Macaca fascicularis: one gene and its partners. Each later gene encodes a partner of the first gene's protein in a complex. Links are inferred from orthologs where the notes say so. Each region holds a gene or a part of one and is shown in the gene's direction. Other genes may lie near its edges.

What was found. Proteins that work in one complex are often made in the same cells at the same time.
Region 2: the proteins of SNAP25 (region 1) and RPH3A are in contact, whole or in part, in a crystal structure (PDB 5LOW), measured with the Rattus norvegicus proteins. The link is inferred for Macaca fascicularis from reciprocal best matches to the Homo sapiens genes SNAP25 and RPH3A. Residues at the interface, in NP_112253.1 of Rattus norvegicus: Glu38, Asp41, Ile44, Arg45, Leu47, Val48, Met49, Asp51, Glu52, Glu55; in NP_598202.2 of Rattus norvegicus: His617, Ser618, Ala621, Ile648, Ser649, Ala650, Lys651, Gly652, Leu655, Tyr659, Leu662, Lys663, Lys665.
Region 3: the proteins of SNAP25 (region 1) and VAMP3 are in contact, whole or in part, in a crystal structure (PDB 5KJ8), measured with the Rattus norvegicus proteins. The link is inferred for Macaca fascicularis from reciprocal best matches to the Homo sapiens genes SNAP25 and VAMP3. Residues at the interface, in NP_112253.1 of Rattus norvegicus: Asp147, Leu150, Glu151, Val153, Ser154, Ile157, Leu160, Arg161, Ala164, Leu165, Met167, Gly168, Ile171, Asp172, Gln174, Asn175, Ile178, Asp179, Ile181, Met182, Ala185, Asp186, Asn188, Lys189, Ile192, Ala195, Asn196, Ala199, Thr200, Met202; in NP_476438.1 of Rattus norvegicus: Ser15, Arg18, Leu19, Gln21, Thr22, Gln25, Val26, Glu28, Val29, Ile32, Met33, Asn36, Lys39, Val40, Glu42, Arg43, Lys46, Leu47, Glu49, Leu50, Arg53, Ala56, Leu57, Gly60, Ala61, Gln63, Phe64, Ser67, Leu71, Lys74.
Region 4: the proteins of SNAP25 (region 1) and NAPA are in contact, whole or in part, in a cryo-EM structure (PDB 6MDM), measured with the Rattus norvegicus proteins. The link is inferred for Macaca fascicularis from reciprocal best matches to the Homo sapiens genes SNAP25 and NAPA. Residues at the interface, in NP_112253.1 of Rattus norvegicus: Glu37, Lys40, Asp41, Ile44, Arg45, Leu47, Asp51, Glu52, Glu55, Gln56, Arg59, Glu62, Gln152, Asn159, Met163, Asp166, Glu170, Thr173; in NP_542152.1 of Rattus norvegicus: Lys122, Glu155, Glu156, Ser157, Asn158, Ser159, Ser160, Asn162, Pro196, Leu197, Leu198, Tyr200, Ser201, Lys203, Asp204, Ala234, Phe235, Ser236, Arg239, Ser268, Ile269, Ser270.
Region 5: the proteins of SNAP25 (region 1) and SYT1 are in contact, whole or in part, in a crystal structure (PDB 5KJ8), measured with the Rattus norvegicus proteins. The link is inferred for Macaca fascicularis from reciprocal best matches to the Homo sapiens genes SNAP25 and SYT1. Residues at the interface, in NP_112253.1 of Rattus norvegicus: Lys40, Asp41, Ile44, Leu47, Val48, Asp51, Glu52, Glu55, Gln56, Arg59; in NP_001028852.2 of Rattus norvegicus: Cys277, Arg281, Lys288, Val292, Leu294, Glu295, Asn336, Tyr338, Asn340, Arg398, Arg399, Pro400, Ala402, Trp404.

Annotation. Positions count from the first base shown.
Region 1 is NC_088384.1:77,140,275-77,144,551, reverse strand, and holds the start of SNAP25 (synaptosomal-associated protein 25), read left to right. Parts: upstream 1-1,477; 5' UTR 1,478-1,834; intron 1,835-1,842; exon of another isoform or gene 1,843-2,124; intron 2,125-4,277.
Region 2 is NC_088385.1:119,501,871-119,505,956, forward strand, and holds the start of RPH3A (rabphilin-3A), read left to right. Parts: upstream 1-1,286; 5' UTR 1,287-1,370; intron 1,371-4,086. UniProt on the Homo sapiens protein: Plays an essential role in docking and fusion steps of regulated exocytosis.
Region 3 is NC_088375.1:227,099,272-227,103,287, reverse strand, and holds the start of VAMP3 (vesicle-associated membrane protein 3), read left to right. Parts: upstream 1-1,216; 5' UTR 1,217-1,304; coding exon 1,305-1,306; intron 1,307-3,371; coding exon 3,372-3,441; intron 3,442-4,016. UniProt on the Homo sapiens protein: SNARE involved in vesicular transport from the late endosomes to the trans-Golgi network.
Region 4 is NC_088393.1:55,533,661-55,537,776, reverse strand, and holds the start of NAPA (alpha-soluble NSF attachment protein), read left to right. Parts: upstream 1-1,316; 5' UTR 1,317-1,446; coding exon 1,447-1,544; intron 1,545-4,116. UniProt on the Homo sapiens protein: Required for vesicular transport between the endoplasmic reticulum and the Golgi apparatus. Together with GNA12 promotes CDH5 localization to plasma membrane.
Region 5 is NC_088385.1:85,716,458-85,720,726, forward strand, and holds the start of SYT1 (synaptotagmin-1), read left to right. Parts: upstream 1-1,469; 5' UTR 1,470-1,828; intron 1,829-4,269. UniProt on the Homo sapiens protein: Calcium sensor that participates in triggering neurotransmitter release at the synapse. May have a regulatory role in the membrane interactions during trafficking of synaptic vesicles at the active zone of the synapse.

The DNA of each region.
Region 1 (4,277 bases):
GGAGGAGGAGGGTGCAGGGGAAGAGGTTGTACGCCGCTTTTCCGAACCCAGCTCTAAATGGTTTCTCCTAAGCGAGACAAGGATTTTCCATCGCCTAAAAGAGGCCATCAAGTTTTAACATTGCGAGGCACGACTTCTAATCGCATCCTTCCCGGAAAAGTACAAACAGTTCCTCAGACGAGGTCCCCCACCTCCCACGCGCTCCCCAGCCCGCCCTCCCCGCGGAGAGTCCCGCGACAGCCTCCCCAACACCTGTGAATCATCCGGGACGCTGCCACCGCCGAGCGATCCGCGCACCACCCCCTCCCCAGGCCCGTGCACGGCCAGGGAGGACAGTTAGGATTGTTGCTTTATAATTATCACTTTTAATCTCTAATATGATCAGCACAAGTAGCCTTTGTCTCCCCGCCCTGATTTGAGCATCCTAGGGCCCCCTGAGGCAGCCTGCACGGGTACCCGGGGTTTGCGCATTGAGTGAACCACCAGATTCGGCAGCGTCCCAGCCGTCCTTGCTCTGAAGCCCCCACCTCCTCCTGGCCGTTTGGACAGTTCCCTCGGGGCGTCCGTGCCTCTGTGGGGTACCCCTAAGACACCCAGCACGAAACCCCAGCGCCGACTGCAAATTCCACCCAAAGCAGCGTCATCCGTTTTTGCCCTCGGCAAACAACTCAACTTCAAGCCTCGAGTCCTCGCAAACCCACGCTGGCTGGGCTAACTCCGCTTCCCTTCTCCTTCCCCCGACTCCTGCAACAGCTCAGAGAGCCTGGCTCTGACGTACTTCAAAATAACGTGCGCCAGCCTCGCTCCCCGGCTGACCACAGCAACGAGAGCTGCAAGCCCTCGGCGCTGCTTCGATAACATGAAGCAATCACTCATAAAAATAGCAACCCACGTAGCCTGGCCATATATGGAACTGGCGAGGGTGGACGGGGATGCCCCTCCGGACCCTCTTTGGAGAAAACAAATCGCCGCAGAAATTTCCCCCACCCCTCCCATCACTACCTTTTACCCCCCTCTGCCTTCCCCTCTCCTTAGATGACTCAATCACCGATTCCACTGAAAGGGGGTGGGGGTGGGGGTGGGGGGAAAATATACACACACACACAAATTATACATATATTATACATGTATTATAAAATATATACACACATACATATATATACACGCACATATGTACACACACACACACACACCAAAGAACATCAAGAATGCAGTTGCGGGATGAACGCTTTTGCCCGAGACCGAGTGTTAAAATGGAGTCATAAGAGTCGCCCCTTTTGGGTGTTTATAGGAGGTGAAAACACGGAGGTTTGCAGGGCAGCGCCGGGGAGCCGAGTCAAGCGCGCCGCAGCCCGGGCCCCGCCTCCGCCCCCGCCGGAGCCCCGCCCCCACTTCCTCCCGCCCCTCGCCGGGCGGCTATTAAAAGCTGCTGACGTCAAAACGGACGGCCATCTTTGATGAGGGCAGAGCTCACGTTGCATTGAAGACGAAACCTCGGGGAGGTCAGGCGCTGTCTTTCCTTCCCTCCCTGCTCGGCGGCTCCTCCACACTTGCAACCTGCAGAGGCCCGGAGAACACAACCCTCCCGAGAAGCCCAGGTAAGGAGCCCCCTCCCCAGGTCGTGGTTCTGGCTCGGGATGGCTGCATACCCAGAAGGGACAGCAGCTGGGCATTCCGAGTGGGCTTGGGTAAATACAAGTATTGGTGCACTTAGGGTGCGGTATTCCGTGTGTGCACGTCTGGTGGGGGCTTTATAAAGTGTTTTCGAGGTGAACTGCTGGGGGAAGGGGAAACGGGAGCCCTGCAAATGGAGCGACGGGAAGGAAGAGCGAGGGTACGTACCGAATAATAACTTACTCTTTTGAAACAGTAGTGGGACCCCCTCTTTCTTCCATTTTGCGATGCAGTTTTCAGAGATATTTAGGCTGTTGGGTTCCCCCCCGTCGTTCTAACCCTATTATTTTGACTGTTGTCGTTAGGGTACTATTATCCAGGGAAGAATTAAGGAGGAGGCAGGGTGTGGGTGCTGGGGAAGCGAAAGGAGAAAGGGGGAGTTCCCGCCCCGGGCAAGCTGAGCTGCTGCAGCGACAGCAGCCTCCATGCCCCGCAGACTTGATTTATGCCGCCTGCTCCACGTCAACTGCAGGCTGGCGGGAGGCGGGCGGGTCGTGCCAGGTGGGAGGGCTCTGCGGAGGGCTGGCGCGGGTGGGCTGGCTTCGGGGACTGCGGCGGCCCGCGCTCAGCACCCTGGATAGCAATACCGAGGGCTCGCGCGGGCGCCCTCGACCTTTCAGCACCGGGGACAGCGGTCCGGCCGCAGCGCCGCATCTGCCTGCGGCAGAAATGCCTGGCCAGGGCTGGATGTGCGAGGGCTGGAGACCAAATTGTCTCTCTGAGACCCTGGTCTTACGGGGACCCTTAATAGAGGAGTCATAGTAGGTTAAAAGAAAACAAGAAAGAAATAAATCTTGCTCACAGAGACTCCTTTACAGACAATTTCCTGTTTCCCCTCCTCACCTCCTGCATAGCTTCAACAAAATAATAGTCTACTTGTGGAAATCTATGTTGCCCTCTGACCCTTATTTTAGGTAGAAAATAAATACATTTTTTAAAAAAATAGGCATTTATCCTTCAGCAGGGTATCAAGATTTTTGTTTGGTTTTGTTTTTTAACACAGAGTAGATCTGTCTACAGATCTTGGGTGAGTGTGAGTACTGTATATACAAAGAAGCCAATGCTATCTGTTTATAGGGATGATACATCTCTATGTTTCCATTTGATAGAAATGTGAGATTAGCTTAACTAAGCAGAATCAACTTTAAGAATGAATCACTGTTCCTTTTCCTTCTTCCCCCATCCTTGCAATCAGGCATGAACACAAGTATTCATCCACAAAAACACATATCTGAGAAATTTTGCTTGTCCTGTACTGAATAGATTTAATCTCTTTGGCCATGGTTTCTGAATTACTGGAAGTATTTCCTATCAGCACTGGTTATCACAGGCTGATAGCTTTAGATTTTGACAACATTAAGACTGGTCTTCCTCAGGAGAATCGAAGTGTGTCCTTCAGGGGAACGCAGGTAAAGAACCATGGTGTTAAACTAGAACTGAACTCTGACCTAAAGATCTACTGCAATTTCTCTTATGGCACTGCGGGATTTTGCTGAGGTGGTGATAACTACTTTAACCATTTTCTACTCTGAGGCTTGGAGTATCTGAGAGAGCAAAAGTCATCAGTGATATTTCTCTCTGTTTGATATAGATAAAACTGGCATAAAAATGACCAGTGTCAAAATTATGCCATTTGAGTAGTTAGCAAAAAAGAGTAACAGTGTCATTGTAATAATCTATACAACACATTAAAGAAACGCTATCATGATCCCCTTAAAAGACCCCAAATGAGACCTTGGATTGTGTTCAAATAGTCATACCTCCTATCATCCGTATGCTACAGATACTAAAATTTCCTGTCCATATACAGAAGGTGATTTCATTCCCAGCTATTTAATTATTTCCTAGTGTTTTTTTTTTTATAGATGACTATGTGTTTCCATGTCTGTATATATTGATCTGTTATTGTGCATGGATGTAAAATTATTTGGATGGACATTTATATAAGAGTATGTAAATGTATAAGAGAAGTTTATAACTTTGCAATCTGCAGACAAAAATAAACAACTGTGTTTTAGTGGTAGAGGAGAGAAAATATGGGTAGGAATTTTTTAAAATGCTTTAACTTCATGCTGCATGTCCAGACAGCTGTCTGCGTAGTTGCGTCAAATGAAAAGCCTAATGCTGCCGGAATTACGTGCTTGGACATTAGTAATTACTGCTGGGTTTGTTTGCTAGTGGAAGACTGGGGAGGAGCGGGGGAAGTAGAGGACTGCAGTGAAGATGTCAAAGGGCACAGAGCTGAGAGAAAGAAGCAATGTGCACAATTAGAAAGCTAATTTTAGAATAACTTACTGAGAAATTTCAAAAAATATATCATTGAACCATGAATTTAATATTTATATCATTGACAGCTTCTGGGGAAAAAATTGAGAAATTTCCTATTTTAAGTTTGAATTTTTAAAATCCAGGGCAATGCGGTGAGAAGAGGCAGGAGCAGATGGACATAGGATGAGCCAGGAGTCATTCACACAGACCCTCTGATGCCTGTTTGTTCATCGATATTTACTGCATTACCACCTCAGTGTTCAAATTACAGAATAATTGACAATCCTCTTAACCTCTTCATGGCAGAATCTCCCAAGAATTCACAATTTTATTTT
Region 2 (4,086 bases), on another chromosome or scaffold:
CTTAGAGAAACCCAACTGTAGAAGGGGTGGTGGAGGTGGGAGAGGGGTGGTGAGGGAGGGAGAGGGGTGGTGGGGGAGGGAGAGGGGTGGTGGGGGAGGGAAAGGGGTGGTGAAGGAGGGAGAGGGAAAGGGGTGGTGGAGGAGGGAGAGGGGGTGGGGGGAGGGGTGGTGGAGGAGGGAGAGGTGGTGGGGGAGACAGATGGGTGGTAGGGGAGGGAGAGGTGTGGTGGGGAGGGAGAGGTGTGATGGGGGAGGGAGAGGGGTGGTGGAAGAGGGAAAGGGGAGGAGGAGGAAGGGGGTGGTGGAGGTAGAAGAGGGATGGGGTGGAGGAGGGAGGGGGCGTGGAAGAGGGAGAGGGTAGTGGAGGTGGAGGAAGGAGGGGGTGGGAGTAGTGGAGAAGAAAGAGGGGGTGATGGAGGAGGAAGAAGAGGTGGTTGAGGAGGGAAGGGGTGGTGGAGGAAGGGGGCATGGAGGAGGGAGAGAGAGGAAGAGGAGAGTGGGAGGTGGAGGAGGGAGAGGAGGTGGTGGAAGAGGAAGAGGGAGTAATGAAGGTAGAGCAGGGAGAGGGGGTGGTGGAGGAGGGAGAGGGAGTGATGAAGGTGGAGGAGGGAGGGGGGGAAAGGGAGTGATGAAGGTGGAGGAGGGAGAAAGGGTGGTGGGGTAGGGAGAAGGGGTGGTGGAGGAGGGAGAAGGGGTGATGAAGGTGGAGGAGAGAGAGGGGTTGGTGGAGGAGGGAGAGGGGGTGGAGGAGGGAGAGGGGGGTGGTGGAGGAGGGAGAGGGGGTGGTGGAGGAGGGAGAAGGGGCTGATGAAGGTGGAGGAGGGAGAGGGGGTGATGAAGGTGGAGGAGGGAGAAGGGGTGGTGGGGGAGGGCGAGAGGGTGGGAGAGGGAATGATGAAGATGGAGGAGGGAGGGGAGTGGTGGAGGAGGGAGAGGGGGTGGTGGAGGAGGGAGAGGGGGTGGTGGAGGAGGGAGAGGGGGTGGGAGAGGGAGTGATGAAGATGGAGGAGGGAGGGGGTGGTGGAGGAGGGAGGGGGTGGTGGAGGAGGGAGAAGGGGTAATGAAGGTGGAGGAGGGAGAAGGAGGAAGAAGAGGGAGAGGGGGTGATGGAGAAGGTAGAGGGTTGGTGGAGGAAGGTGGCAGTGGTGTTCCTAACCCTTGATCTTGGCTTGTTAACCCTTTCTGAGCTTCCCTCTAGTGGGGGGATGAGGATCGTCGGTTGTTCCCACATTTAAGGGCAGAGCCTGGCGGGGGGTGGTGTTGGTGCTCGAGGGTCACGCGCTGGTGGCTTTGCCGCGGTGGTGGCAGCGGTGGAAGAGGCGACACCACTGGAGGCGGCGGAGGGACGGGCCCATCAACGCTGCAGGCGGGTAAGGCGAGCGGGGGCTGAGGGCCACCAGGTCCTGCCCTCCCGAGCTGCAGCACGTGCTGGCTTAGGGGGCCGTGGGGGGTCCCGTGGGGGCGCGGCGGGGACGCGGGACGCTGCCTCCCGGAATGGGGCTGCTGGAGCGGGAGGATGCGCTAGAACCGGGGGTGGGGCGACGAGGGACTTGGGGGCGGGGAGACGGCGCGGGACCCGCGCTATCCTTTGGGATTTTGAGGGGCGGGTCCCGGCAGGGGCCCCCAACGTGGCTACTCCTGCGAGTCTCCGAGAGGGAAACAGGTGGTCGCGGGGTGGCTGTGGCGAGGTAGCTCCTCTCCGGTAGCCACGGGGTGTCGGATGTGCGCCTTTACCCACCCGTGATGTGCGCCTTTACCCAGGGTGGATGTGTGCATCTCCTGGAGCCGGCTGGGACCCCGCATCGGGCTTTGGTCAAGGATCTTTCGAAGGGGTAGGAAGACGGGAAACTCAGAAAGTGCTGAAATCTGGGCACTAGAGTCACAGTGTGTCTGATTTTTACCTGCATCCTCACTCCCACTCCAGGTCATAGCACGTTCCCTGGATCAGGGTTTCTGTAGTTAATCAGAGGGCATCTCCGCCCCCTACCCAAACCCCATCCCGACAATATATCCTTTTTATTTCACCTCCTAAACCAGGGGTTGCAAACTGGGATGCACATGGGGCCAGGCAGATGCACAATGGGTCCAACTCTTACCTGATTTCAACTATGCACCAGGCGCTGTCTATAGTTATTCATTCATTGAATCCTCACCACGCCCCCTGAACTTGCTACTTGTGATGACTGTGATTTTACAGATAGGGAAACAGGTAGGCAAGGTGAAAGTCGCTTACCCAAGATCACATGAGTAGCAAGTGCCAAGTCAGGGTGGGACTCCAGGCAGGTGGCTCCAGAGTCCTGGCTCTTAACCACTGTGCTGTGCTGAGCAGATGAGCTGTGGGGGTCACCAGGAGCCCCACTAGGGAGATTTAACGGCTGCCAGGCAGAATCGCAGACCCTGTGTGGCCAGACTGTCCAATTTATTGTCTCAGCCTCCTGAGTAGCTGGGACTACAGGCATGCACCACCACACCTGGCTAATTTTTGTATATTTTAGTAGAGATGGGATTTCACCATGTTGGCCAGGCTGGTCTCAAACTCCTGACCTCAGGTGATCCACCTGCCTCGGCCTCCCAAAGTGCTGGGATTACAAGCGTGAGCCACCTCACCCGGCCTTAATTTTTGTATTTTTAGTAGAGACAGGGTTTTGCCATGATGGCCAGGCTGGTCTCAAACTCCTAACCTCGGGTTATCTGCCTGCCTTGGCCTCCCAAAGTGCTGGGATTACAGGCATGAGTCACTGCAGCCAGCCCTGAGTTCTTATTTTCACACCCCTGAAGCTCAGATCTGGCCCCACATAATTTAGTGCAGGGAAGAATTTTGGTGAAGGGAAGAAGTTTATTTTGGAAGGTGTGGCTATACAAAAAAATGACAGTGTTCACACTGGTCTTACTCTTATCAGGGCCCTGGGGCCCTGAGCTATTCCCTCTTGTAAAACTTTTTTTTTTTTTTTAACTTACTGTATTTTTTTCAATAGATTTTCCTTTTTTTTTTTTTTTTTTAAAATACAATCTCTCTCTTTGTCCCCCAGGCTGGAGTGCAGTGGCATGAAAATGGCTCATTGCAGCCTCGACCTCCTGGGCTCAAGCTATCCTTCTGCCTCAGCCTCCTGGGAAGCTAGTAACACAGGCATGTGCCACTGTTACCAGAAAGGGATTCCGATCCAGATCCCAAGAGAGAGTCCTTGGATCTCACGCTAAAAAGAATTTGGGGCGAGTCCATAGAGTAAAGTGAAAGCAAGTTTTTTAAGAAAATAAAGGAATAAAGAATGGCTACTCCATGGGCAGAGCAGCAGCATGGGCTGCTCACCTGCTTGTACTTACTGCTACTTCTTGATTCTATGGTAAACAAGGGGCAGATTATTCACGAATTTTCTAGGAAAGCGGTAGGCAATTTCTAGAACTGAGGGTTCCTCCCCTTTTTAGACCAGGTAGGGTAACTTCCTGATGTTGCCATGGCATTTGTCACTGTCATGCTGCTGGTGAGTGTGTCTCTTAGCATGCTAATGCATTGTAATTAGCATATAATGAGCAGTGAGGATGATCGGAGGTCACTTTGGTCGCCATCTTGGTTTTGGTGGGTTTTGACCGGCTTCTTTACCGTATGCTGTTTCATCAGCAAAGTCTTTTTGCCCTGTATCTTGTGCCGACCTCCTATCTCATCCTGTGACTTAGAATGCCTAACCTTCTGGGAATGCAGCTCAGTAGGTCTCAGCCTTATTTTACCCAGCCCCTATTCAAGATGAAGTTGCTCTGGTTCAAATGCCTCTGACACCATCATGCTCAGCTAATTTTTTGATTTCTTTTTTTTTTTTTTTTTTGTAGAGATGGGGCCTCACTTTGTTGGCCAGGTTGGTCTTGAACTCCTGGGCTTAAGCAATCCTCTTGCCTCAACCTCCCAAAGTGCTAAACTTACAGGTGTGAGCCACTGTGCCTGGCCTAGTCTTCAAGTTTTTTGGGAGCCATAGCTCTGTCTTCCTCATTCTTATATTCCCACATGTCACACATACTGTATTTCACATCATGATATTCAGGAAGTACTGAATCAAATGTAATTAACTCAAGTAAAGTAGAGGTTCAGTCTCTTAG
Region 3 (4,016 bases), on another chromosome or scaffold:
CTCTCCTTATCTCCCTAGTGCTCCCTCTTCCATCTGATCCATCTGGCCGCTACTGCCAGAGAAATTGTGCAGCACGGATCTCCCAAGTCCGTGAGTCAATGGTTTCCAGGGCCCACTACAATCAAATGACATTTTTCTTGTTTACCCTCTTTATTCAGTCTTCTTTTCACTTGTACCCAACCTGCACCCTGTAGGTGGTCTGTGCACACTGCGTCCATTTTCACTGCTGTCTTTGTTCATGGTGTTTGTCCAACCCTTACTGGAAAGTTCTTTTCTGCTAGTACCCAGCTCAAATCCCACCGCCTTTGTGACAGTCTCGTTTATTCGAATATATACGAATGTTTCCCTTTTCGAAGTATTCTATTTAGAGTTGGAAAAAACAGCATAGTATTTAAGTACTGTATTTTTCACTTCTCATTTAAGAGACCCACCAATGACCAAACACCTATAGTGTTTTATTTTTTGATGTCGGTAACTGTGTTGGTAGGAATATTTCAGTGACAAATATATACAAGGTAACTCACTGCGTTCAGATTTGTGCTTCCCTCCCTTCGACCAAAACCTGAGGACCTATTCTGTGTTAGGGCCTAAAAATACAGAAATGAAGGAACTACAGTCTTGATGCCAAGGCTCTCGTAAGCAGATTATAATATGATCTGCAGGGACAAATATTTGTGTTACCGAGGAAAACATGAGCGGGAACCTAACCCAACCCCATGTGACAAATACCTGAAATGGACTTCCTATTTCAACTACTTTCTCAGAGAAACATGGTGCCCTCGGGATCACTAGGTTAATCTGGAACATTCAGCAGAAGCCAATCATCTGTCTCTAATACTGTTAGAGAGAAATGGTCCCGAGCCCAGAATAACATGAGTTGCGCCCACCCTCACTTATCCACACAGTCCCCAGCCAGTGCCTAATGCGCCACGTTTGCAGACCACGTCCCCAAGCGCCAGCGCGGGCCGCGGTGCAGAGAGGAAGCTGTATTGACCTGCACTCTGCGTTTCAGAGCCCGGACCGCCCTGGGACCCCTGTGGCCCTCAAGTTCCCAAGTGACCTAGTCCAGGGAGTGGACATCTCGCTCTGACCCCGCCCTGGACGAGCCCGCCACGACGCGCCCGCCCACGACGCCCCCGCCCACTTCCGGCGCGCCCCCTCTGCGCCCCGCCCACTCCCGCCGGCCCTGCCTAGTGACGTCTTTGCCCGGAGTCGCGCCGTTCCGCCCATCTCCTTGGCCTCCGGTCCCTACTTCGCTGCTCTGCTGACCCTCGCTCGCCGCCGCCGCCGCCGCCGCTGCCAAAATGTGAGTGACGCTGCGCGACGCGGGCGGCTTCGGGCCCCGCAGGCGGCAGCTCGCGCTGGGATCGCCGTACCGCCCAGTTGCCGCCGGCCGCCGCTCGGACGCAGGCCGGGGCTGCGCGGGGATCCCGAGGCCTGGGGGTGGGCGGTAGCCCTTGGGGCGCGGGCTGCAGACGGCCCGGGCGGGTTCCGCTGCCATGGGGCGGACGCGGAAGGGGCGAGGGCGGGGTGGCGAGGCGCTTCCCGGAGGAAGTGAGTTGCCCGCCCGCACCCCGCTCCTCGCCCCTTCCCGTTCTAGTCCCAGAGGTCCCGGAGAGGAACGGGGACGACTGCCCTGGTTCGGGAGGGCCGGCTCTCGGCCCAGTTGGGCCCCGGAAGTTGCAAAAGAAAGGACCTCGGCCCTGTGCTGAGCCCCTGTGGGCCCAAGAGCTCCTTGCCTGGCTAGGGGCATCTGCACTGGAAAGATCACTTAACCGTGGGCCTTCGCACTCTTAAGCGAAAGCGCTCTTGTGGCCCTTGCAAACCGGTGCTTCCAGTGGTAACGCTCAGAGAATGTTCATGGTTAAGAATCACAAGGACCCTCTCTTCCACCTCCATTCTGTTCATTGCTCACCGTCGGAGGAAGCCCCGGGTTTCTTCCAGGAGTTGGGGACCCCCCCTCGAATGTTCCTGCTGAGGCTGCTGTGTCAATAGATCACAGTGGTTAAGATCTAGATCCCAGGTACACAGGACCTGATCTAAAAACAATCTGAACGGCAGCCAGCTGTGTTGACTTTTTAAACCTCACTTTACTTATCTGTAAAATGGGAGTAATATTCCCCTCAGAGAGTTATGAGAGTTGAAGGAGAAAATGCATGAAAAGAGTCTAGCACCACGGCATGGTCCTTACTTATCTACCAGACACTAAACTCTGTGAGGACGGCGATGAGATCTGTTGTAGCCCTGGTCATTGACACATGACAGATGTAAAGTGACTGTTCAAACAGTCCATCAGACTGTTGTATACTAAGGTACATGCTAGGTGCTATCTAGGATACAGAGAAGAGAGTAAGAAGACCCAGGAACCTGTAATCTATTCGAGGAGGCAGGACTTTATACCTGAAAAACCAAAGTGATACTTTCCAAGTAATGGAGCCAATAATGACTTCAGAGTCAGAGTGGTTAAGAAGGATCTGCATGAGGAGAAATAAAGCCTTTGATGAAGATTTTAAAAGATGAGTACCTTCCCGGGGCGGGCGCGCTGGCTCATGCCTGTAATCCCAGCACTTTGGGAGGCCGAGGCAGATGGATCACCTGAGGTCAGGAGTTCAAGACCAGCTTGACCAACATGGTGAAACCCCGTCTCTACTAAAAATACAAAATTAGCCGGGCGTGGTGGTGCATGCCTGTAATCCCAGCTACTTGGGAGACTGAGGCAAGAGAATTGCTTGAACCCAGGAAGCGGAGGTTGCAGTGAGCCGAGATCACACCATTGCACTCCAGCCTCGGCAACAGGAGGGAAACTCCGTCTCTCAAAAGAGGAAAAAAAAAAAAAAAAAAGAGTACCTTCCTAAAAGGGGAAGCATTGCTTCAACACACCTTTCCACTCACACCAACCGCTCCCTGCATCCCAGTGTTCCTGACTCTGTTTCTGTAAATTAATCTATTTTTCTATATTGGAAAAAGGGCATTCTATAACTGTTTATAACTATGAAAACAGTTCCTGCCACAATGAAAAGATCAGGAGAGTACTGAGTACGTTCAAGCAGATGTGTGCCTTAGAACAAGTTTCAAAAAAGGACAGTAGAGTTTACCTGTCGTGGGATCAGATACTTCAGGGATACAAAGTAGGTCCTATTAAACCTTCACGTTTGTCCCTTTAGTAGGTGGGACAGTCTTGGAAATTATAGAGAAATTAGAAGAAATGTAATTAAAACTTTTGTTCATTGCTTCAGGAAGAATTTCTTTTTCTGCTTTAGTTCTAATGTAAGAAATTGTTAACAGTGAGAGTCCTGGAGTAACTTCTTTATACTTAAGAAAATGTATTTGGAATCATAATTTACTCATGCTCCTGCCTTTACATGTTCCAGGTCTACAGGTCCAACTGCTGCCCCTGGCAGTAATCGAAGACTTCAGCAGACACAAAATCAAGTAGATGAGGTATTGCTCTGAAATGTTGGAAATATGAATTTTAAACAAGTATGAGCACTCTGGAAATCTGTTTAGAAAAAGTATCATGAAAGTGTGAATGTAAAGCAAATTCTGACTGTATCATAATTGTAACAAAACTTTGCTCCCTGCTGTGCTGGAAGATCTAAGCAAAAGTCAGACTTTCTAGGTTTCATGCTTGTTTTCCTGTGGTAGAATCACATACCTGCTCATAACATTTAGCTCAGGAAAAATAAAAAATCATATGCTTAAAACATGAACACCACTCCCTGAGTGTATTCCCCAAGAACCACTTTATAAAATAGGATAATACAATGTTAGGATTAGGTCTTTAGATTGCTCAAGCCAAGACCAGTTCTTCTGATCAGATTTTTTATCAAAATGCTTTGTCCACTTACTAGTTATCCAGCCTGAGCAAGCCTCTCTGTAGAATTCATCTCTAATGGCTGTCCACTGACTCACACAAAGTAGATACTGTCAAACTCCATTAGCCCAGCAAATCTCTATTTGTAGAATTCTTGAGCTAGAGGACCTTCATCTTTTGTTCTGCACTGTATGTGGAGAAC
Region 4 (4,116 bases), on another chromosome or scaffold:
TGGCATACCCCCTAATTTTGTGTGTGAGCACACGTGTGGAATACTTCCTTCCTCTCTGGCACTACAAAGTGATACTGCGGTGAGCTATGATTGTGCTGCCGCACTCCAGCCTGGGCGACAGAGTGAGACCCTGTCTCCAAAACCAACAACCCAAAGAGTGAGACCTGTCTCAAAAACCAACTACTCAATTTTCTGGGGCAGCAGGAGGTGTGTTTGAATCTGAACTTTTTTTTTTTTTTAGAGACAGAGTCTTGCTATGCTGCCCAAGGCGGGACTTGAACCGGACTCAAACTCCTGGGCCCAAGCGATCCTCCCGCCTCCGCCTCCCGAGTAGCTGGGATTACAGGCACCAGACACCGCGCCCATCTTCGAATCGGAATTTTTTAACACGCTGTCTTCAGCTTTTTTTTTTTCCTAAGTCTCACTCTGTCACCCAGGCTGAAGTGCAGTGGCACGATCTCGGCCCACTGCAACCTCCACCTCCTCGGTTCAAGCGATTCTCCTCCCTCAGACTCCCGAGTAGCTGGGATTACGGGCGTGAGCCACCACACCCGGCTAATATTTGTATTTTAGTAGAGCGGGGTTTCGCCATGTTGGCCGGGCTGGTCTCAAACTCATGACCTCAGGTGAGCCGCCCGCCTCGGCCTCCTAAAGTGCTGGGATTACAGGCGTGAGCCACCACGCCCGGCCCTCTTCATCTATTTTTTATGAAACCAGAGTTAGAGAACCTCTTAAGTTTTTGTTTCCAGTCTCTCAACTACTTCACCGGTCTCCCCAAAGCAGTTCCAGTACTGGCCGGTAGAGGGAGCAAGAAAAAGCAGAACGGTTTCCTTTTCCCACAAACGCTTTTCCAAGTGAAGAAACGGGCGAGACCAGCCGTGGGGCGGGACTAAGCTCTGCGCAGAACTGTCAAACCCGGGCTTGGGCCCCGAGTTGTCACGTGAGTGTCCGCGGTCAGCTGACTCTGCCGGAGTACTTCAGGGAGGGCGCGGGGTGGCCCCCCTAACAACGCGAGCCGAGGGCTGCTGCTGATTGGTGGAGGAGGATCCAGCGGCAACACCGTGGGGCGGGGCCTCGGCGGTGAGTATTGCCATTGCCTTCCGCAGGGTCACGTGGGAGGTGAGGTACAGAGCGCTGAGGAGAAAGTGGGGCGTCGTTGTCCTGTGTGTGCGCATGCGTTGAGGTCTCGGGACGCCGATTGGGGGGTCCCGAGTCACGGGCGGCTTGCGGCGGCTGGTGGGGGCGTGGCCGGCGGAGCGGGCGCCGCGCTACGAGGCCTCTGGTTGGCCAGCGCGAGTCACGTGATTCCGGGCCGCAGGCGCCGCGCGCCGGTGCGACGTCAACGCAGCCGGGCGACTTCTCCCGATCTGTGTTCCGCGGCCCGGCCGCGGCTGAGTCTTCCCAGGGCCAGTGTCGGGCGCTTTGCTGAGTCCTTTTGTGGCCGCCATGGACAATTCCGGGAAAGAAGCGGAGGCGATGGCGCTGTTGGCCGAGGCGGAGCGCAAAGTGAAGAACTCGCAGTCCTTCTTCTCTGGCCTCTTTGGGTGAGAACCGGGCTGAGGGGTCGGCCGGGACCTAGGCTGAGAGGACGAAGGAGTCACGGTCGGAGGTGGCGGGTTAGGGCACGCAGAGCTCGGGCCGAGGGGACGGAGAGGAACCTGGAATGAGGTGACTTGGCCTGAAGCGGCAGAGGCTACACAGGCTGAGGGCCAAGAGCCTGGGCCGGGGCAACACGGTTTGAGGAGAGACGGTCTGACATGGCGGAAGGGATTTGGGCTGAGGACACATGGACAGAGGCGACCCTGTCTTGAGGCGAGGAAGGGGACCCAGGCCGAAGACAGGCCAGCGGGAGGGGGAGAACCTGAACCGAGGGAATACGTCCTGAAGCCTTGGAGGGGACCGGCTTGGGGGCAGGGAGGGAGTCCGCGAGATAAGCCAGGTCCGGAGGCTTTTCAGAGCTCTAGGGGAATGTGAAGGCTCTCGGGCGGCAGTGATGGGGCCTGGGGCTGAGGACGCCTGCCCGAGGGACTGACCTTTTCATCCCCCGGGGCAGTGGATTTGCGTGGGCCCTGGGCAGTGAGGGTGAAGGCTGAAGGGGGCTGACACCTTTGGAGGGGCTCAGGGCTTAGATGATCCTAGGAGCAGTGAGCTGCGTCTGAAGTGTGGGGGGTGCCTGGGGTGAGTACGGCCCTGGTTAGCAGTGACTAGTTTAAGGACAGCTGAGCAGAGGAACCGGGATGATGGAGTCAAGACTGTGGCGGTCTCAGCCCTTTGGGAGGCCGAGGTGAGTAGATCATCTGAGGCCGGGAGTTCGAGACCAGCCTGACCAACATGGTGAAACCCCGTCTCTACTAAAAATACAAAAATTAGCTGGGCCTGGTGGCGGGTGCCTGTAATCCCAGCTACTCGGGAGGCTGGGGCAGGAGAATCACTTGAACCCAGGAGGCGGAGGTTGCAGTGAGCCGAGATCACGCCTCTGCACTGCACTACAGCCTGGCAACTGAGTGGGACTCCGTTTCAAAAAAAAAAAAAAAAAAGGAAAGAAAAAAACCTGAGGAGGCCTGGGTTGAGGCCGGAGACTCCTGGGTGGGGGAACGCGTGGTGGTGGCTTGGCCAAGGAGATGGAGGGATAACAGGGAGAGACGGGGACTGAGAGAATCAAAACTGGGGATCAAATTCCTGCTGTGTGATCCTCGAGTAATGGGGATGACAGGAACATGCTGAGAAGAGGGATGGGAAAAGGCTTGGGAGACAGAACTAACGCATGTGACATGGCATAAAACTCACGGTAGCTCCTAAAAGCTGACACCACCATCCTGTGATAATTTTAGTGGCTTAAAAGTATTAAGAGCCCAGGTTTGAAATGTGGCTCTGCCACTTACTTCATGACTTTGGGTAAATGGTTTAGTCTCCCTGTTAAAGGAGATCACAAATCTAACCTGCCTCCCATTTGCTGTGAGTGTTAGAATTGAGCCTGGCGTGGAGTTACATCTCTGAGAGTGTTAGCTATTGTTAATGGACTTCCCAGAAGGAAGCAGGTTTGGAGTGTGCAGAGAGCTGATGGGGTTCAAGGTGGGCGCCCGAGAGGAGAGGTCTGGGAGGGGTCAGGAGAGGGAGAGACAGAAACATGGGTGTGCTAAGAGGAGCTGAAAGGGAGCAGTAAAGGGAGCCACGAAGACTTAGTAGGGTTGAGAGGAGCATGAGGCTCTGGGCAGAGGAAGTAAAGGGAGTTTGGCAGGGGGTGGTGGTGTGTGGGGGGGGTGGGATCTGTGCTGATGGGGGGACCCGAAAAGGTCAAGGGGAGGCTGTGGAAACTGAGGGGAGGACTGGGAAAGGACTAGTGGACTTGTAGAGAGAACGGTCTGTGGTGGCCCCTCAGAAGCAGAGCCTGGGGAAGTTGGTGGGACTGGGAGTGTCTGCAGAAGGCTGGAGAAGGGGGTTTGGGAGGAGGGCCTGGGGATGGGAAGAGACTGGGGTAGGAGCCTGGCAGAGGCCGGTAAGACACAAAGGGGAGGGATCTTTCCAAGAGAGGAAGGAACAGGAAAAGGGCTCTGGGCCACGCCCCTTGTTTGAGGTTGGATAATGTTTAGCAAAAGAACTTGAAGAACATGATGGTGAATTGCCTGGTGTGGAGAAACATCTGGGGCTGATGGACTGTATTGATTAGGTGAAAAATATTTTATTTTAGAGGCTGCGAGGAGACAGAGGGTGTGTGTGTGTTTTCTTTTTCTTCACAAGGGGAGAAGTTCAGGTGCTGTGTTTGGGGGTGGGGCCACGAGCTGGATTTTTGGTGATAGTTTTCCTAGGTGGCTCTGGGTGTCTGGTCCCTTTGGCCCAGGGATTAGTGGGCTGTTGGACTGTGTGCTTGGAGGGAGCAGCTAAGTCAGCCCCAAGGCACTTGCTACCTGGTTGGGAAGGCAGGATGCACAGCAAATGCTAGTAAAGTGGAATTACCTACTGTAAGGAAGGGCTCGATTATATCATTCCTGTGACTGTCTGAGCTCAGAGGAAGCAGTGTGAACCAGGGGGAAGCTCATGGTGAGGAGTGAGCTAGGTCCCAAGGAACCACAGGACTTGCTGGGGAGTGGGGCCAGGGAGGGTGCTCTAGGCAGCAGG
Region 5 (4,269 bases), on another chromosome or scaffold:
GTTTGGGGAATTGAGATAGCTATTTATTTCCCTACCTGAGATGCCAAGATAATCTTCTCAGTAAAATAAAGAACCCAATTAGGTGAGTTCTCATTTGTAGCTATTGATCAAGTTTACACAAAATGCTAGGGTTTCTAAGTAAAACAAATAAGAGGTTCAAAGGCCTTTAAACGAGGTTGAGGGAGTGAGAAAGAGAAATAGTTCTCTGCGTTTTGAAAGCCTTTCACCTGTGGAGCAGATAATGGACGGGCCCCTCTCCCAGCTGGGCTCCGTTCCCGCCCCTTGCCTGGCGCGCGGTCCCTTCCCCCACCCGCTGAGCCTTCCTGTTTGGTATCTCGGTATTACCAGGCTATAAATTGCCTGAGAGCTTAGAGACAATCAGGTCACCACCGCCCTCACAAGGGAAAAGCTTCTTACTTCCGAGCAGAACGGTTCAGCTGGGAAGAGAGGAAGCAGGGAGAGATTTGTGCTTTAGTCGTCACTGCTCTGGTAAGGGGTCGAGAGAGATGGGGGAGGGAGGTGGCAAAAAATAAAAATAAAAAGCATCCCCAGCAATGCCGCACTTGACCCAAGTCTACAAACTTATTGGTCGCTGCAATGGAAACTCCCAGTGCACTCTCCACGGCCTGGCAGCCGCCGCTCATGGGTGGAGTCGCGTTCCCGGCCCCACCTATGGGACGGAGCGGCTTCTCCTGCATCTCGGCAACACCACACCCTTCGCGGGAAGTCTCCAGGCTTCCAGCAAAGCTCAGCTTATCCCGCCCCCGCTTCCAACCCGGAACCCCAGAAGAATAGCATGATGAACCTCCAGCAGCCCGGCGGGCCACCTCCCCGCGGCTCAGTTTGAAGACACTTGTGCAGAACCCTTTCATGTCCCCACCCTGCCCAGCTTTCACAACTCCGCCGGGTTAAATGGCCAAAGACAAACTTCTGCCTCTTCTATCCCGGGTTCCAGCTTTTCAAAAACCTACAGCTGGCAAACCCACACACGTCGAAACTCCTAGGTCGCTGTTGCAGTCTGGGCATGCTCAGTATCAGGGCAGGTTTTGATTGAAAGTAAAAAAAAAAAAAAAAAAAAAAAAAAAAAGCTTTGTATTATGCTCGCTCTCTTTCTCCTGTGCATATGGCTTGCTGAACAGGTTTTGGGGCATTCTTGAGTCTACCCAGAGGTTTTATCGGATGCCCTTGATTGTGTCTCCTTGGCATCTGTTCCCCTCTTACTTCACTCCCTCCCCCAACCCGCCTCCACCCCGCTTCCCAGGTCCCTGTCCGCTGTGGGGATGGAGGGACACTAACAGAACTGGGATGGGAGATGTTGGCTGAGCGGATCCACCTATTATTAGTGCGCTGGGATTGGCTTCTTGGCGCAGCGTAGCCGAGGTGGAGCCAATCAGGATGCTAGGGCTGGGAGATGATGGGCGGCCGCCTCCTCACTGGAGGGATTCCTGGAGAAGCTGCAGTGTGGGGATGCTTTAGAACGAGTACTGCCCCCAGTGTCTTTCCACCTCCTCCTGCAGCAGCGGCAGCGGCAGCAGCAGTTAGCAGCGGCAACTTGAGGCTGCACCCCGGGCAAGCCCCCAGGGTGGTGCTCAGCCGAGAGGGGGGCTCGGCGCCCCGAAGGGGTGTGTGTAGGGTGGGGGCGACCAGCTGGGACCAGCTGGTGGCCCTGGAAAACCTCCCACACACCCACACCCACACACCCCTTTTGTGTTGCAGGCTGCCCCTCCAAGAGCGGAGGCAGCGAGAGCACGCGTGTGCCTCGCGCCGGTCCACGCCGGGAGAGCACTGGGGACTGAGACCCGGCACCACCTCCCGGTCCGCCCTCCAGGTAAGGAAGCGGGACTGGCGGCGCGGCCACCTCGGCGGTGCCTATCTGCTCGAATCCATCCCAAAGATTTTCTTCTCGATACACTTGGATTTTAGTGGTGGGAGTCTGAGACCTAGGGAGGGATCCCCGGGTGGCCTATTGTGAGAAATATGAGACCACATGTGCATCTCCTGGAAAAGCACTTTGCACAGCGCCCGTGATTTAGAGCTTGGAGTTGATATTGGGCATCCCCCATCTTCTTGCTTCCTCTTTCCTTCTCTTGTTCTCTCTCCTCTGTCCCCCGCCCCCAATCTCAATCTTTTCTCTCTTTCTCTCCCACACCTCCCCTCTCGCCCTCCTCCCACCCTAAGCACGCACAGGGTTTCTTTCTCCTCCTGGAGAGGATTGCCTTTCTTAAGAGGAAAGAGGGGGAGTGAAGAAAGGAGAAAGATTTCTTTCTGTTGGGGAGAGGGATATGGGGGTGGGTGGGTTGGGGCGTAAACAAGATAGAATACAATCTCTGCGAAAATCAGAGCACAGAAAGCAATTAAACTGAATAAGGGGAGTAGACAAGCCGACCAGCTTGGGCTGTCAGAGAGGGGAAGCGTCAAGTTTGACTTGATTTCCTCCTTGCAAGAGACTATGTCTCTCACTTGATTCGTTCAAATGGAACAAAAATAAACCGACAATCCAACCCACTTTCAACTGCTTAATTGCTGTTGCTTTTGAGTGCCAACCATCTGACTTTTCCTGTTTCCATCTGTCCTGTGGGACTGACAATTTGGTATTGCACATCAGTGTTAATATCTGAACTTTGAAAGGTTTCTTGAGTAAGAAAAAAAACACAATTAAAAATAGATTATTACTTTCCTGAGGTTTCTTGGTATGGTCTGTTGTTGGGGGATCAAAAAATGTAAAGTTTCAAAACATTTGCAAGGGACAACAGTTTTATAGGGAGGCTTGGATTTCTACTTTGAGAAAGCTAATCTTCTAGTTAGCTTTGTGTACATGTTGATGTTCACTTTCTCCAGTATTAACCCTTTGGTGAAATAAAGCAACTGTTTAACTTTTGTGTGGAAGCTACATTTGTGTATGAATTTTCACTTTATTCTATCTTTCTACTATCTATTTGAATTTTATTGTCTGGATACCAAACTTATGCCTGGCTTTATTTTCTTTTAATAGGAGGATATTTAATGGATGTAAACATGATGTTTGTACAATTTCAGCACTCCCTTTAGAAGGCACATGGAGGCTCAGCTGGACAAGAATCCTCCTGTATTGGAACAAAGTTTAGAAAGTAATGCTAGAAAGATAGCCTAAATTTTAAAAATCCTGAAGGGGAAAACATTTTTGTAACGTCTTGTTAAAAGAAAGAAAAATATATCAAAACAGCAACATGCCCCTGGCTGCCTGCATAATAGGTCAAGTAAATGGTACTTGTTGGACAGAGCCTTTACAGCAGCTTCAGCAGTCTCTAATTCCATCATTGGGGATATAAGCTTTATTTTCTTAGTATTCATCAGGGACAGCGAAGCGATAGTACTGTCAGATGGAAGGAGGTATAGAGAAGTGCCTCGTTTGATGTAATAGGAAAGCATTCCAAGTGGGTCTTACCTGAACACAGAAAAATCAGCAGATGTTAGTATACAAAACACTTATTTTTATGTATAAGGGGAAATGCAGTCTTACTTTTTTTTTCTAGAAGTCCACTTGATATAAGAAAAGGGAATCTTCTATCCTAACTCTGCCTGACCTTCTACACTAATTTGTATCTCAGAGAGTATTTTTTCACTATGTATCTTTAATGTATAAGTTTACACACCAACTTAGAGAAGAGCTGGATTCATTTGCCATCAGCGTAATGTGTACTATTTCCAAACCATTTTGCATTTGAGGCAATGATCCCTCCGACCTAAGCAGAATTACCAAGTCAGGAAAAAGGATTCTCTTTCTAGGGCTTTGACATTTAAATGACTTAAAAAAAATACTGTCTCTGTTGAAAGCTAACTCTGGTTTTTAGAGGTGCCACCTTTTGGTTACAAGGACAAAGGGACAATCACTTAATTACCTCATGTGTATGTACAACTGAATTAACAAGTTTAGACACGAAAAGATGTACAAAAAGGAAGCCAGCTGACTTCATGTGAGAAAAATAAGATTTTGTTGTCTCATTTCTCCACTGTCTTAGGAATATGTGAAAATTTAGGCTTGGTTTGTGACATTTATTTTCATGACTCTTTACAAATGTTAATTATAGAAATAACATCTAAAAAGATGGATATCAGTAGTTTTTCACATACTTCTAAAAAATTCAATATCTATATATTAGAAATCAGAACTAATTCCAATATATTGTGAGTGGATTGTGGAGAGACCTTAAATGATACATTATAGGAAATTCTTGTTCTGTTATCCCACAAAACAGTCTAATGTCACAATTTTATACAGTCTTTATTTTT